2 linked regions of the Rhinolophus ferrumequinum genome follow. The protein of the gene in region 1 purifies or fractionates together with the protein of each later gene. This does not show direct contact. Links are inferred from orthologs where the notes say so. Each region holds a gene or a part of one and is shown in the gene's direction. Other genes may lie near its edges.

Region 1 (8,042 bases):
CATGGTGGTGGTTAGAAGGTTCCCAAGAGCACCAAGAGAGAGGGCAAGCTCCAGTGTACCGGCACACTTCAAGGCTCTGTTTGTATCACCTTTATTAATGTTGCATCGGCCAAAGCAAGTCACATGACTAAGCCCAGATTCAAGGAGTGCAGAAATAGATCCACCTCTTGATGAAAGGAGTCAGATCATAAGAGATGTGGATATAGGAAGGGGAAGAATTTGCAACTGTAATACATATAGGCATCCATTCCCTCTTTTACTATATACATAACTCCAATGTTCATTGGGCATCCACCCCATCCCCAAACTCAGACCTAGACAATCTGAGGCACAGTGATTGGTTCAAGGATGTGCATGTGACCCAAATCTGGCCAATGAGATTCAGCCCTGGTCCTTTTGCTGGGGACTGTTGGAAAGGAGGTACTTTTTGTCTGCTGAAGCAGATGTACTAGTAGAATGTAGACCTTGCTCTTCTGGAGGCCATGTGTGTCATCACGTGGCAGAAAGTCTGCTTGAGCATGAAGCCAGCACTGAGGAAAGCAGATATAGGGCATTAAGAAAGACGGATTGAGAGGAAGGAAAAGAGACTAATCTAATGACACCCGGACCAAGCCACAATATAAACTTCTGGACTTTTCAGTTACATGAGCTAATACATTTCCGTTTTTTGATTAGGCCATTTTGACTTGGCTCTCTAACTCAACACTTGTAACCAAAAGAATCCTGAAACAGACAGCTTCCTCCCTTAAAAGTTTTTCCTCTTTCATCTCAAAGCTCTTCCCATCTGTGGACCTTTATTTGGATGGATATTCTTTGTCCTGTTTACTGTTTGTCACCCTGCCTGGGCATATAGTAAATTCTCAGTAAACACTTGTTAAAAGCATCAGTAGGAGGGGTGAGGACCCCTCCGAAGAAGAGCCTGTGGTGACAGGCACGTAACCAGGCTCAAGGAGAAGCCCCCAGAGGTGGTGGTCTAACAGGCAGGTAGAGCAGGTAATGGACACAGTCTGTGAATTTAAACTAGGCCTCGCTGGCCCGGAGGCTGGGGCTCCAAGGAGGAGGGACTGGTGAGAACAAGGCAGGGTCCAAGCCTAGGAGGACTCAGGATGGGACCTGGTATAGGGATAAAGTAAGGTCTTACTGTGGAGTCCATAGCAAGCATGGGGCCCCAGCACTTCACTTCCTCCCGACTGTAACCAGTTGTCACTGTCCCATGATTGGTACTTCTGCTCTTTCTCCACTGAAACCCTTTCTTCACCCAGCAGCTGGAGTGACACTTTCAAAATGTAAATCAGATCATGTCACCTCCCTGCCTAAAACCCTCCAAGAGCTTCCCCCCGTGCTTATAGCAACATAATAACAATGACAGCTGACACTTGCACTGTGCTTGTTAGGTGCCAGACATGGTTCTAGGCACTTCCTTAATAACTCACTTAATTCTCAAGTATTATCACCCCCATTTTACAGAAGAGAAAATTGAGGTACTGAGAGATTCAATAACTTGTCAGAGTTAACATGGATTAAAATCCAAACTCTTTATCAAGGCCTGGAACTCTCTACCCCTAGGTCTTTGCATGGCTGCCTCTATCTTATCAGTTGGGTCCTAGCACAAATGTCACCTTCTCAGGGAGGGCTTCTCAGATCATCCAATTTATAATGTCTTCCCACTCTCTATTATATCATCCCCTTTTGTTTTCACATCACTTACCACTGTACTAAATTATTTCTTCATTTTCTTACAAAATGACTTGTTTCTGTCCAGTCCTCATTGTCCCCTCAGGATGTCAGCTCCTTGCGAACCAAGACTCTCTTGTTCACCTTTGTATTCCAAACACCTGGCATAGGTGGATAGCACCTCAGTGAACATTTGTTAAAATGGACGGAGGAGAAGAGGAAGGGAGGAAAAAAGGGATAAGGCTTGAGCCTCCCTCCCATGACTAGAATGAGGATGGGTCCTCAAGGAAGAAAGAATGGAGGACAGAGAGGAAGAGAGACCCTGGAAAGGAACTCAGGGCCTTGGGACTCCTCAAAGATGCAGCCAGGCCAGGCCCCCCACTCAGGTGGGAGAATGTTTCCCTGATTAGGGTTGTCAGACTTCGCAAATAAAACCAAAGGATGCTCAGTTAAATTTGAATTTCAGATAAACAATGAATAGTTTTTAATATAAGTATGTCGTGTGCAATATTTGGGATAACTTACGAGTATATTAAAAAATTACTGGCTATTTATCTGAAACTCAAATTTCCTGGGCATTTTGTTTGTTGTCTGGCAGCCCTATCCCAGATCCTCACTTTGTCCTAAGTGCCACGAGAGATTCCACTGAGTACTAGCCTGCTTTTTTTTAATATGGAACATTTTGTTTTGCTTCTGGATAAGGAAGTACATTCTCTTTATTGGATCTAACAGGAGAATATCCGTGGAAACAGCAGCTTGTTAGAGGGGGTGGAGAAATACCCCCGGGGAAGGCAGGACAGATGCTTGTCCTGACTCGAGGTGGCCCTTCAGACCTGCTTGTGTTTTGTGACTTTGCTTCCTGGGCCCAGAGGTGGGCTTGAGTGAGTGCTGCTGAAAAGAGCAGGAAGAGAATTGCTCAGTCTGGGAGGAAAAGATTTATGGGAATGTGGGCCTTTTCTGGTGATTCACTCATTCATTCAGTCTCTGAGCAGCTGGTGGCAGGAACTCAGAGACGAATAGCCCTGAGTGCTGCCATGGAAGCTCTCCAGACTCGGGGGGATGGCTGTGGACTGCAGGACCAATAAGTGATGCCTGCTTCTGAATCTGTCTTCAGAATGGGAAGAGCGTGTTTCTTTCTGTCATGTCTCTACTTCATTCCCTACTCTTTTTTTCTTTTTTCATTTCTCTTGTCTCACCTTTCAGTCCTTAGTCAACTTAAACCTAATTACCTTGTAACCAACTAGTCCCATAAAGGAACCATTGCTGGTGCACTCAGGTAGGGGACCTGGTCTTCTTCTCAATTCCTTTGCCATCCAACTCAGCCTGGAATTATTTGCACGCCCTTCTCTGATTGGCTGATACAAACCTCCGGCAGCCTCCACCCTTTCCTGCCACTCCTTACCTGCTTGTTGAAGCCCCAATAGGTCCACTATCCTGAGATCCTCAGATCTCTGCACTGCAGCTTTGTCTGCTTAGTTATTCCTTGATAAAGTGTCAATGGGTGGTCCCTTCTAGTGGACTTCAGCACTGACAAGCAGTGTGGTCTTGAATGAATTCCTTTGCCTCTCTGAGACTCAGTTTCCACATCTATAAAATGGGAATAATTCTCATGATTAAGTCCTTATGAGAATATCTGTAGTGGGTAATATGGACTCTTAAGCCAGATGCCCAAGTTCAAATCCTTTTTCTTTCACTTACCAGCAGCGTGCCCTGACCAAGTTTCCTGTTTATTTCCCTTTTCTCATATGGTTGGAGTGAGTCTAAAATAAGTCAATATGTGTAAAAATCACCTAAAACAGTACTTTGCATACAAGTGCCTAATAAATGTCAGCTATTATTGTAATGGATATTAAAGTTCTTTGTCTAAATACTATGTTATGATTATTGCCCAATGAGTATTAGGAAAAAGTCAGTTGAGTACATCTCTGGCTCAGGGGCCAGAGGTTCCTTAGGAAGAGGGCCCAAAAGAGTGAAGCCTTAACTTCTCTGAGCCTCAGTGTCTTCGTCTGTAAAATGGCAATAATAACCTTACCTCTGCCTACTTTACAGGTTAGCTCGAGTGCTTGACCAGTGGTCACTTAGAAAACTATTTGTTGAATGAATGAATGCATGGACCATGTGGGGCAGCAGTGGCAAGCTGCAGGGGTCTGCACCAAGCAATATAACTGTGAAGACTTGCTGCCCATGAGGCCTGCTGCAATGGAGTCCCACCTAAGGCAGTGGATGAGTGCTGAGCTGAGTAGATAGGCTGGGTGGCATGCTGGTCAGCACAGGTACTCTTATACCTGCTTGGTGAACGTGTACCTGTATTGATACAGCCTGTTTAGAAACTCACATAATGCTAGCAATAACAGTTTTAAATGAGCAAATCGACCTAGTAGTTCTATTTACAAGAAATCACCAGATATCCTGGCTCAAGTGTGCCAAGATTTATATAAATAGTATGTTTATTGCCGCTCTTTGCAAGAGTAAAAAATTGGAAACAACCTAAAGGTTTCCTTCATACGAGAGTAGATAAATAAATTGTGGTACCTTTACATTATGGGCTACATGGCTGTTAAAACGAATGAGGTAAAGCTATATGTAGTAACATGGAAAGGTCTCAAGATGTATGGTTAAGTAAAAAAAAAACAGAAAAATTCAAGTTGACAGAGCTATACATTGAATATAACACTTGCAGGGGAAAAAATCCATTTCTATGTATCTGCATAGAAAATATTTGGAAGGCTACACAAAGTTAAGGCAATAAAGAAAAGACTAACTTTATAATTTTAATTTGATAAATGAAAGCGCTCCCGTTTAAAAAGTCCAGAGGCTCTATAATCTGGTCAATGAACTGTGCGACTCAAGGAAACAACTCACTTTTTTGAGCCAAAGCTTCCTTTTGTGTAAACTGACAATGGTACTTCCTACCTCCCGGTACTGTGATGGGGTTAGATGAAATAATACTAGATACAAAAACCCTTTTCAAAGTCAGGGGTTCAGAGACAGATAATTACAGCAATCAGGGAGGGCAACACAAAGAAGGAGGCATTAGCCTAGACCTTGAAAGATCTGGCAAGATCTGGATTTGGTTTGTGTCCTGGCTGTCTTTCCCCAACATTCAACATCCATTTATTAGGGGTCTGGTACAAAACCTGATGTGGACTTTTTAACCATTTACTTCCTGCCGTGGAAGGCAAAGCAGAAGTCCGGCGCGTGCGCAGTACTAGAGCATCGTTGGCTGCGCTCCTCCCTCGTACTACAACTCCCGGCAGACTCCGCGCAGGTTTCGGGCGCGTCGCGGGCTGCTGTCGTAGCGTGGTAGCGCGGGGAATTTCGAGTGGGACTGGAGTGCGGGAGGCTAGTGGGTGGTGGACCCCCCATCCTCCTTAGGGGAGACCATGGACTCACTAGTCGAGCCTCGGTGGCCTCCAGGTCTGGCAGTCATGAAGGTGAGTGCTTCGGGGAGGTTGGGGGCGCCCGGGTGTCATCGGGAGGCCAGTCCCGCCTTGAGGATGAGAAAGGAAGAGGCGGGAGAGGCGAGCTGGGCCTGGGTAACCCGGTTCTGCTCTGCCACTTACCAGCCGCATGGCTCAGGGCCTTAGTTTCCTCCCCGAGAAGGGACGGGGACAGGCCTCGGTCCCTTAGGGTGAGCTGAAGTTGGCTGTCTTATGGAACCGGGTATCCTGCAGTTAAGTCACAACAACAATGACCTCGAGAAAAGCAGTTACTTTAAACAGTGAAAACGACAGTGACAGCCCTTTCTGAGGACTTACTACTACATGCCAAGCATTATGCCAACTCTTTCAGTACATTAGTTGAGAATTTCTGAAAGTGACCCCCGACCTGATTTTGGGTGAACCTTGCATCAAAAAACATTTATTTAATCACCTAGTGAAGCAGGTAATCTTCACATCCTATTGTTACCCTCTAATTACACCCTCTAATTACACCCTCTAATTACCCTCAAGAAGCCTAGTGCTGGTTTGCCCTAACTCCTTCCCAATGAGTCCTAACTCCTAACAGTTGTGCACGTCTCTCTTTTAAACAAAGGGACCAGGACTCAGGCGCAGCACCAGCCTTTCATTTCATTGAATTATTTCTCTTATATAACATTGATTTTTGTGGCTGCTTGGCATTTTGTGGCGGCAAGGCATTTTAGTTTCCATTTACAGTAGTGGTGAGCCCAGGATTCCTGCTGTATTTGGTCAAGAACAAATACACTTTGCTGTGCTAGTTAAGAGTCAATTGCTTGGTGTTTCTCCTTGCTCTGTGATCACTTTCATTTCAAGTTCTCATCCTGTTCTAAAGTTTCGTACACTTGGGGATTATGGCATGTGTCCCACTGATTTATAAGGCTGTCTCTGAGGATTAAGTGAAGAGACTTGGGGGAGGTTAACTAAGTTTGAGACTTTATTCTTCCGTCATCATCAGTGTTATCTACTGTTTTGGGGCCCTTGAGATACAGCCCCACGGTGAAAAGCTGACATTGGGAGGATCTAAGAAAGATGTGGTTTTGAGGTTGTGGTGGCCCTGGCACCGAGGTGAGCATAGATTTGAGTTCTGATGATCCTGGGTTAAATCTGGTCTCTGCCTCTTCCTTAGCTGTGATCTTGAGTCAGTTACTTAATCTCTGAGCATGAATTTCCTCAACTATAAACTGGAGACAAAAATAAACAGTTTATAGGGTTGGTTAAATGAATTGATGTGTGTGGCTAGGGATCCTGTCTGTCTTACTCACTGCGTAACACAGTGTGTGGCACATAGTGGGTGCTCAAAAATTATTTCCTAATTGATTAAAGGTATCTGGAAGGTAGTAAGCATTCAATTAACATATCTTATTAACACTTAGCGTGTGTTAACTGTTTAAACCCCCTTTTTATTTGTTGTGAGGATTGAATGGGATAAAGGAAGTGAGAGCTGTGTAACTTGTAAAGCTACCTGTCTGTAGACTTAAGCAGATTTTATATATTCCCACAACTTCCACTGCGTTCTCTGGAGGCAGGTTCCTTGTCTTTGGCTTTGATACCTCATCACAGCACCGAATTGAGGGTTCAGCACCAGAGAGTATTCAGTGATGGAGTTGATTGAGCCCGTATTAGAATCATGAAATACTAAGGTTGGGAAACCAGCCCCCCTCCAGTCTTTTAATCCCTTTTACATTGTATTTGCCAGTTTGTCATCTAGCTTTTGCTTGAAGTGTGCCAAGGACAAAGAATTAGCTGCTCCCAGAAGTAGCTCTGTTGGAAGTTCTTTCTTATATTGAATAGAAATCTGACTCCAAATCCATGGTTCCTAACAGGATCCATGAAAAGACTTTGGTATCTAGATTATTTATAAAATTTTTGTTTATATGTATGCTTTTCTAAGGAGAGAGTCCATAGTTTTCATCCATTTTTCAAAGGGATCTGTGACCCAAAAGCTTAAGAACCTTTGCTCTAATTATTGGCTTTTTACCCATTCCCTACTTCCCCGTTCCACTTTCTCTAAGTTAAAGAAATCTTGCGGCATCCACTTGACCACTCTCTATTTGGGGTTAGATGCATGTGACGTGTATGCTACTGTCTTGGAATGGCATGATGGGAAATTTGTGCGAGAGTGTTATAGCTCATCTGATGCGGTGACACCTTCCGCGCCACCTTTCGCGCGTCTTGCTCAGCAGATCTGTCAGAACCACTCCTCCCCCAGAAGAGGATGGTTATATAGAAGAAAGTACAATAGACTCGATGCCAGGGCTCTGGCTTCCAGTCCTGCCTTTGCTTTTAATTGATTTTCAACACAGCGCTTTAGCTTTTTGTGTCAGTGGTAACTTATATTCCAAAATAATGGAAGATTTTGGCATTTTAATGTTTATTTCCCTGGTTTAACCATAACAGAAATTTCTAGGTTTAACAGGTTATAAATGTCTGTGTATATAGTAGAAAAAAATTAAAATTCAGGGTAAGGTAAAGGAGTAAGTGAAAGTTACCCATCATCCTACCACCCAGAGATGACCACTGTTTAATATTTTCTCTAATTTTCCTTCAGTTTTTCTTCTGTGGACTCATGTGCACACATACCCAACAATGGATATATGCATTTAAAATTTGAGATTACTTTGGAGTCAACATCTTGGATTTGACCCAATCCCTTTTAGCTCTATAGTCTTCGTCTATAAAACTGGGATACAGATGCTATAGACGTCATAAGATTGTTCCAGAGATTAAACTACATCGTTCTGTTATTATCTGTGGTTGTAGATTTGTTCTCTCTTTTTAAAGTTTTCATTAAAATATGAACATTTTCTCATGGCGTTAATTATTCTTTGAAAGCATGTTCTTTTTTAATGGCTACATAATATTTCATCGTATGGACTATTAGTGACATTAGTCTTTTGTTTGTTTGTT
Region 2 (6,977 bases), on another chromosome or scaffold:
ACATAAATATTTACAAATGTTATATCCCTTTATTGGATTGATCCCTTTATCTTTATGTAATGTTCTTCTTTGTCTCTTATTACAATCTTTGTTTTAAAGTCTATATTGTCTGATATAAGTATAGCTACCTCAGCTGTCTTTTGGTTTCCGTTAGCATAGAATATCTTTTTCCATCCCTTCACTTTCAGGCTGTGTGTTTCTTTACATCTGAAGTGAGTCTCTGTTAGGCAGCATACAAATGGGTGTTGTTTTTTTAATCCATTCAGCCACTCTACATCTTTTAATAGGAGAATTTAGTGCAGTTACATTTAAAGTTATTATTGATATATATGTACTTATTGTTATTTTGTTAATTGTTTTCTGGCATTTTGTAGTTCCTCTCTATTTCTTCTTTTGTTCTCTTCCTTTGTGATTGGATGACTTTCTTTAGCTTCATGCTTAGATGCCTTTCTCTTTATCTTTATGTATCTACTGTAGGTTTCTGCTTTGTGGTTAGCAGCAGGCTTACAAATAACAATTTATATCTATAACAATCTATTGCAAGTATTGACAAAAACTTAAGTTTGATTGCATTCTAAAGCTCTACATTTTTCTCTCCCCGACACATTTTATGTTTTTGATGTCACATCTTACATTGTTTTATCGTGTATCCCTTAACTAATTATTGTAGTTACAGTCCTTTATCTGATTTGTCTTTTGCAAATATTTTCTCCCAGTCTGTGGTTTGTCTCCTCTTTTGATATTATAGTTTTCAGAGCAGAAGATTTCAATTTCAATGATGTCGAGCTTATCAATTATTTCTTTCATGGATCATGGCTTTGATGTTGTATCTAAAACATTATCACCATATACAAGGTCATATAGATTTTCTCCTATGTTGTCCTCTAGGAGTTTAATAGTTTTACATTTTATATTAGGTCTGTAATCCATTTTAAGTTAATTTCTCTAAGAGTAGTTTTGTTATTTAGAAGGTATGAAATGGGTTTCCAGGATTGGAGCCCCAGCTTATAACATTGTTGCTATAGAAAATAAGGGTTTGATTTATATGAGCTTGCTTTATATGAGCTTGCTTTTTAATCAATTAGGTCATAAACTGGAGATCATCTGCTCGAGTGGTTCCCAAATATCTATCTTTAAATTTGTTTCATTAGAGTTACCTGGGATGGTTGGATAGTTTGGTTTGTTTTTAACAAGATAAATCTCAGGAGCTAATAGTCGAGATGGGGCTGTTATGGCCTATGTACACAATTGATCATTATCTGGTACTACTGCATAATATGTAAGGTATGTAAGCATTTAAGTTTATTTAAGGGCCTAAAGAGGAATTCAGAAACTTAACAGGTTTTAGGGGTGGCCAGTTAGCTCAGTTGGTTAGAGCGTGGTGCTAATAACACCAAGGTTGGCGGTTTGATCTCCGCATGGGCCACTGTGAACTGTGTGCCCTCCTTAAAAAAAAAAAAAAAAGTAGAAACTTAACAGGGTTTAAAGAAAGTGGAACTGAGATCTAATTTCGCCATTGTCCTAAGACTTGACCTAAACAATACACCAAGGCTGATACCTGAACATGGAGCTGCCTTTCTAGTGGATGGAAGCTTTGGGAAGGTTCTTTATTCTCTGGCAATCATCATTGTATTCTATTGTTGTATGACTAAGCTTCCTTGAGATTTTAGACTCATTCTCAAAGTGTTACATCACTGTTTTTGTACTTTAAAATGACACATGATAGAGATCCTTAAAATATTCAAAAAAACATTTTACTTGTATTTTTCTCAAAACTGCAGAATAAATATTACTTAAGTCATAAGCATCAGGTGACTCATCTACAAATTCCTATTCCTTAATACAGAAGCCATACTGACAAAATTAGTTGGAAAACAATGTCAGTAGAAAAAGTAATATTTGGGAATGGAGGCAGGGGAGGGTGGGGAGGAGATCCATGATACAGATTATGTTACCTTCATTGAGAAACACTGCATATAATCTCACATCTTTCTTTACCCAACAGACTCAGCTTCAATTTTATCCTTGTTTGTACCTAATTTACAAGGATTGCTTTATTAACATCCAAAACAAACACTTAGAAAGAAATGGTGAACTCCCTTCTCCTTATGTCATAAATTCATGTTCGATGCAACATTCTGGGTAGAGATTACAAATTTTGCTTTGCAAATTATGAGATGCAGAAGGGACACAGATTGAGTTTTCAGTTTGCAGGCTAAGCTTGCAGCAGGGGAGACAGAACAAACTATAGACTTTGAAACAAGGAACCACACAAGGAAGCAAGTGGTCTGACTGCCATTACATTTGCAATTCTAAGAAGAATCAGCTGAACTCTATCGACACTGAGTCATTCACTGATTGGTTTATATGCAATCAATTAACTCCTACTTGTGGAATACTATTAGATCATTAGCATCCAATAGGTGGATGAACTCAGAGTTGTCAGGGTGAACAGGTATTTCACAGATGGGTGCTTCCAGGGAGCTAAGGTGCAAAAATGAACAATGTTTCCTAAAATTAGCTCTGGTGATTTTAAGATTGAAAAACGTTACTCCATAGGGAAGTTTTTCAAAGACTATATTGGGCACTTTGCAAATACAGGATTGAACATTCCACTGGGAAATTCAAGAGGACGAATTTTGTTTAATTGTAACAGCTGAATGATAGTGTACAGAATTCCATCTCTGTAGTTGAAATTACATCTCCAAACACAACTGGATCTGTAGTTTAACATTTTGCACGGAATAACAATAATTATATCTAAAGATTAATTACCCCAATCAAGGTGAACAAAGATGAAATGATGCTGTACTTAATTTTTTAAATATTTCTGCCTGGCACCAGCTGGACTCAGTGCAACTGTGAGCTTAAATCTCTATTCCAATGGTGAGAAGTGACAAACTATCAAAGATAACCTTTTACAGCACAATATACGTTTAAATACTGAGTTTCAATTACACTTCCAAAATAAAGGCTCCATTATGTCTTGTACTTAGTAAAATTATCAGTTCTCCATGGCAGAGGAACTCTGTTTGCCCACGGCTCCAGCAATGAACGTTACTTTTTCAACTTCCCTCGTGAAGCCGTGGATAAGGTAACTAATTTCCATCGAATTTTATAGGGTTTAGTTTGTGTAAATGGCTTCTTTCAGACTACTATCTTAGAGGTCTATGATGAAGTTCTGTGCAAAGTAGGGTATGGGCTGTCTCTAGAATGTCTCCGCCAACTACAACGGATGTTCTCTTAGGCAAAAACCTACTTCTGTGCTTCTGTGTGATTACACAAGCCAAGACGCCCCTCCACAGCATAAGGCTGAGTCCTCAGGAGGTAGTCGTTAATCACTGAGTGACCGCTGTTTCCTGGGGATTATTTTACAGGCTCTTGGCCCTGAAGCCTGTCCGAGTTATCCCAAAGTTAACTAAGCATCAACCTACTACCTCCATGAGAAAAAGGATACCTCTCAGTGAAGACAAAAAAGACAACGTATTTGAAGGCCACCTTCAGTATAATACATGTAGTTTTGTTCTCAACTTAAAAAATTTACTATTTCCCTGGAAAGTCTTTTTAAAATAATTTTTTTGAGGAAGACAAGCTTCACCCGTACTAATGAATGGCTGCTTTCTAGAAGCAAGAAAAGCCGTGCGTTCGCAGAATTTTCTTCTGCCTTTTTATTAAGGCCACAAACGAAACCCATCACTCCTGCACGGGAACCCCGCCCCTTCAGCGGGGAAGCCGCCTGTATTTAATATCTGCTTAGAGCCCGCCTCCTCTTTAGAGGTTCCAGCCAATCCTGTAGTCTCTAAAGCCGTGGACAGAGCTATCGCGAGATTCCAACTGCATCCACTCGTGGCCTTTAACCGTGTGGACTTGCGTAGAAGAGGCTCTTGAAGCCACCGCCGGAGAAAGGGGGCGGGGCAACTCGACGTGCGCGTTCACCTTGACCCCACGCTCCAGAGCGCGCCCTGCAGCTAGGAGCTGAGGTTTCTGGGTCCCCCGGGAACCCCAACACAAACCAGCGTAAAGCGCGCGAGCCCACCTCAGGTGGATATTCGGTGGGTGGCGACTGCGTGCCCGGGACCTGCGGGAGCATTAGAGGGCCTTGGTGCGGAGACGCTCAAGAGGCTTGGAGAACTAGTCTAGGTAGGCGCTCGGGTGATGGAGGGTCAGGGGTCAGAGGTCGGGTATGGGAGACAACTCCGGACCGAGACTGAGGTCTCAGGGAAGGAGGACTTGGTTGTTCTGGGGCCCGGGAATCTAAAGGGCTGCGAGTGAGCCGCAGCACAAGTCTCCCCGACCCTTCCCCATCCCAGACGGGCGGGCCCTCGGACTGCCACGGCTCCTCCGGGAGAAGGTGGGGTCGTGGGAAAGGAGGACGTGCTTCTCCCCGGGGGCTGGGCCGGCGATGTTTTGTTGGAGCGTCGGAGAGGCTATTGTCGTGCTCCTCGGCCTCGCGGTAGCTTGTTTGCCCGGCCTGTTGGGAGCGATCCGTCGCTGACAGCTCTGCTCTGACTTCTGGAACCGCTTTTGGGTCGTTTCAGAAGAAAATTGAGTGGGTATCACCATTCGCAGCAGATAACGCCCCTGCAAGCTGGAAATGGGCAGCTTCCTAGTTTGGTGCGCGAGGTTGTAATGCAGTAAAAGGGGAGGCCGAGGCTTCTAAGTTAGTCTGAAAGTTCTCAGTTACCTTTGGAGTCAGATGAATTACGTTTGCATTCAAAACCACCCTTGCACGTTTTGACTCCATGGTGGTGGCTAGGTTTATGAACGAACGTGTGTTATCTGATGATTGACGGTCACCGTCAGATACACAATATCATTAAATCATGACTATTAAGCTTGTAGCCCTTAAGCTTGTGTCTTTTTTCTAAGTGATTTGACATTAGGCACGGGGTAGAAATACTAGATGTTTTGTGTTTTCCAACTTGTTTTTAAATTAACTTGAGGCTATGACTGAACAAAATAAAATAATTTTAAGTCATTTCTGTTGGGTGATAGCAAGAATGGTGAACTTCCCATGAATAGAAATGATCCAGGAGCTCTGTATTGTCACCAAAAAGACTAGTTGGTTTATGATCTGTAACTGCTGGAAACAGCAAATGTGAGCAGTAGTGCGATAAGTGTGCCTTTATTACTTAGCCTGTACTTCCTAGAGCTTTGCAGGACCAGTTAGTAAGTTGGCAGTTGAAAATAAAATAGTTTACTTTTGAAAGATTATGTAATATATATATATTTTAAAAGTATAAAAAGTATACACATTTTAAGAAAGGAAAACTATTAAAATTGTAATATTTAATATATACTGATGACAAAAGATGAATACAAGTCATGTGTGACTTCTGCAATTACAAGAGGTGCTCAAAGTGGTTACCATCAGCATCCAGACACTTCTGTTGACGGCGAACTGTTTGAGCAATGTTGACCAAAGTGTCCACTTGTATACATTTTTGGCATCCCTGATATATATGTATGTATGTATGTATGTATTTATATATTTTTTTCCTTTTTGCTCAGCTGTACTTTTTGCTCAGCCTAAAAGAACTGTACTTTTAGAATTATTAAAATAAATCTTTTATAAAGAGTTTAGGTTAGAAAGATTTAGAGGAAATAGAATTTGCTGGTGAAGAAGCTTATGAGGGCATGTTTCAAGTTTTTGTGACTAACGTATTTTAGGGTTCAACAGATGAAAATACTCTCCTGCTGGAGTTACCACAATGGAAAAGGATTGTGGTACTGCTAGATCATTGAAAGTTTTATGTAATGATTGGGCTTCGCTTACATAGGGCTCACGTTGGATGTATACATGTAAATGTATACTCCTGTTGCTTTTAATAGCCCAAGCCCGAGTCTACCATGGATTTGTAATTCAGGGTTTGTGCTTTTAATAAGGAGATTATGGTTTGGTGGGGGAAAAAACCTAAATTTAAGTTTAATTGAAAATCATTTGTTGTGTTATCTTATTAACTTTACCATTTTGTGTTTATTTTTCTAGCAATCTGTCTTTGTTTTCTATTAAAGGTACAGGTCAGTCAGTTTTGTCTGTCTCATTCTGGGCCAGAAATAATAAAGAATAGTTTCACGTTACCTGCAGTCTTCTAGAATGTGGTTAAGAGACTCTTGTCCAAAAAGAAATGTGAGTAAAGTACTCTTAGGTCTTTAAACAAAGGGAGGATATTCACGGAGTTAGAGTCTTTGTTTCACCTTATTTTGTATATCATTTCCATCCTGGCACTGACTTGGCATTGGAGGTACAGTGTTGAATAGGATACTATTCCTGCCCAGCCTTCAAGTGTTTCATTAGTCAAACGGTTAAGTAGCAGTTGAGATCAAGGAGGAGAAGCCCTGAACTAAGCAGGCCTGGTTATGGAGGGTTTGGGGACGACGAGCAGGACAGTAACAGTCAGCAAAGTGTGAAAGAGCATTCCAAGCAAAAGGCTTTTCACATTGAAATGCAGGATGGTCCACATGTGGTCCATACAGACCACTGCATATAATTACATTTTACACAGACACTGATAGTTAAGAGGGAGGAAGAAGTAGAGCCATCAAATGTGGGATTTATATGGTATGAAGAAAACTGGGAGAAGGATTTGGTATGTGATTCGAGATATACCAGTAGCTGCCAATTAACATGGTTATAAGTAGCTTTGATGAAATAATATCCTTTTTTTGGTTCAAGAAATTATCCCTGGAGAGAGATCCGTTAGGAACAGAGTCAACCAAAATGAGTTTTGTTTTTTTTTTTGGTTGGTTGGTTTTGTTTTGTTTTGTTTTTTTGAGTAACGAGTGGTAGTACTTGGGCATCGGGATTTTTAAAAGTTCCCACAGGTGATTCTAATGTGCAGTCAAGTTTGAGATACACTGATCTATCGCCTCCCATCCTGCCACATAAAGTTTGGTTATTGTAAAACATCGTTTATAGGATCATCAAATGACAATAATAGCAATTACCACCTACTGAATATATGCTAAATTTCTGT

The links. Proteins that work in one complex are often made in the same cells at the same time.
Region 2: the proteins of RAD18 (region 1) and SHPRH purify together in Homo sapiens (affinity purification with western blotting; 3 studies listed by BioGRID and IntAct, with this or other methods). This does not show direct contact. The link is inferred for Rhinolophus ferrumequinum from reciprocal best matches to the Homo sapiens genes RAD18 and SHPRH.

Annotation. Positions count from the first base shown.
Region 1 is NC_046300.1:44,744,837-44,752,878, forward strand, and holds the start of RAD18 (E3 ubiquitin-protein ligase RAD18), read left to right. Parts: upstream 1-4,975; 5' UTR 4,976-5,057; coding exon 5,058-5,108; intron 5,109-8,042. UniProt on the Homo sapiens protein: E3 ubiquitin-protein ligase involved in postreplication repair of UV-damaged DNA. Postreplication repair functions in gap-filling of a daughter strand on replication of damaged DNA.
Region 2 is NC_046286.1:90,089,575-90,096,551, reverse strand, and holds the start of SHPRH (E3 ubiquitin-protein ligase SHPRH), read left to right. Parts: upstream 1-3,917; 5' UTR 3,918-4,140; intron 4,141-6,977. UniProt on the Homo sapiens protein: E3 ubiquitin-protein ligase involved in DNA repair.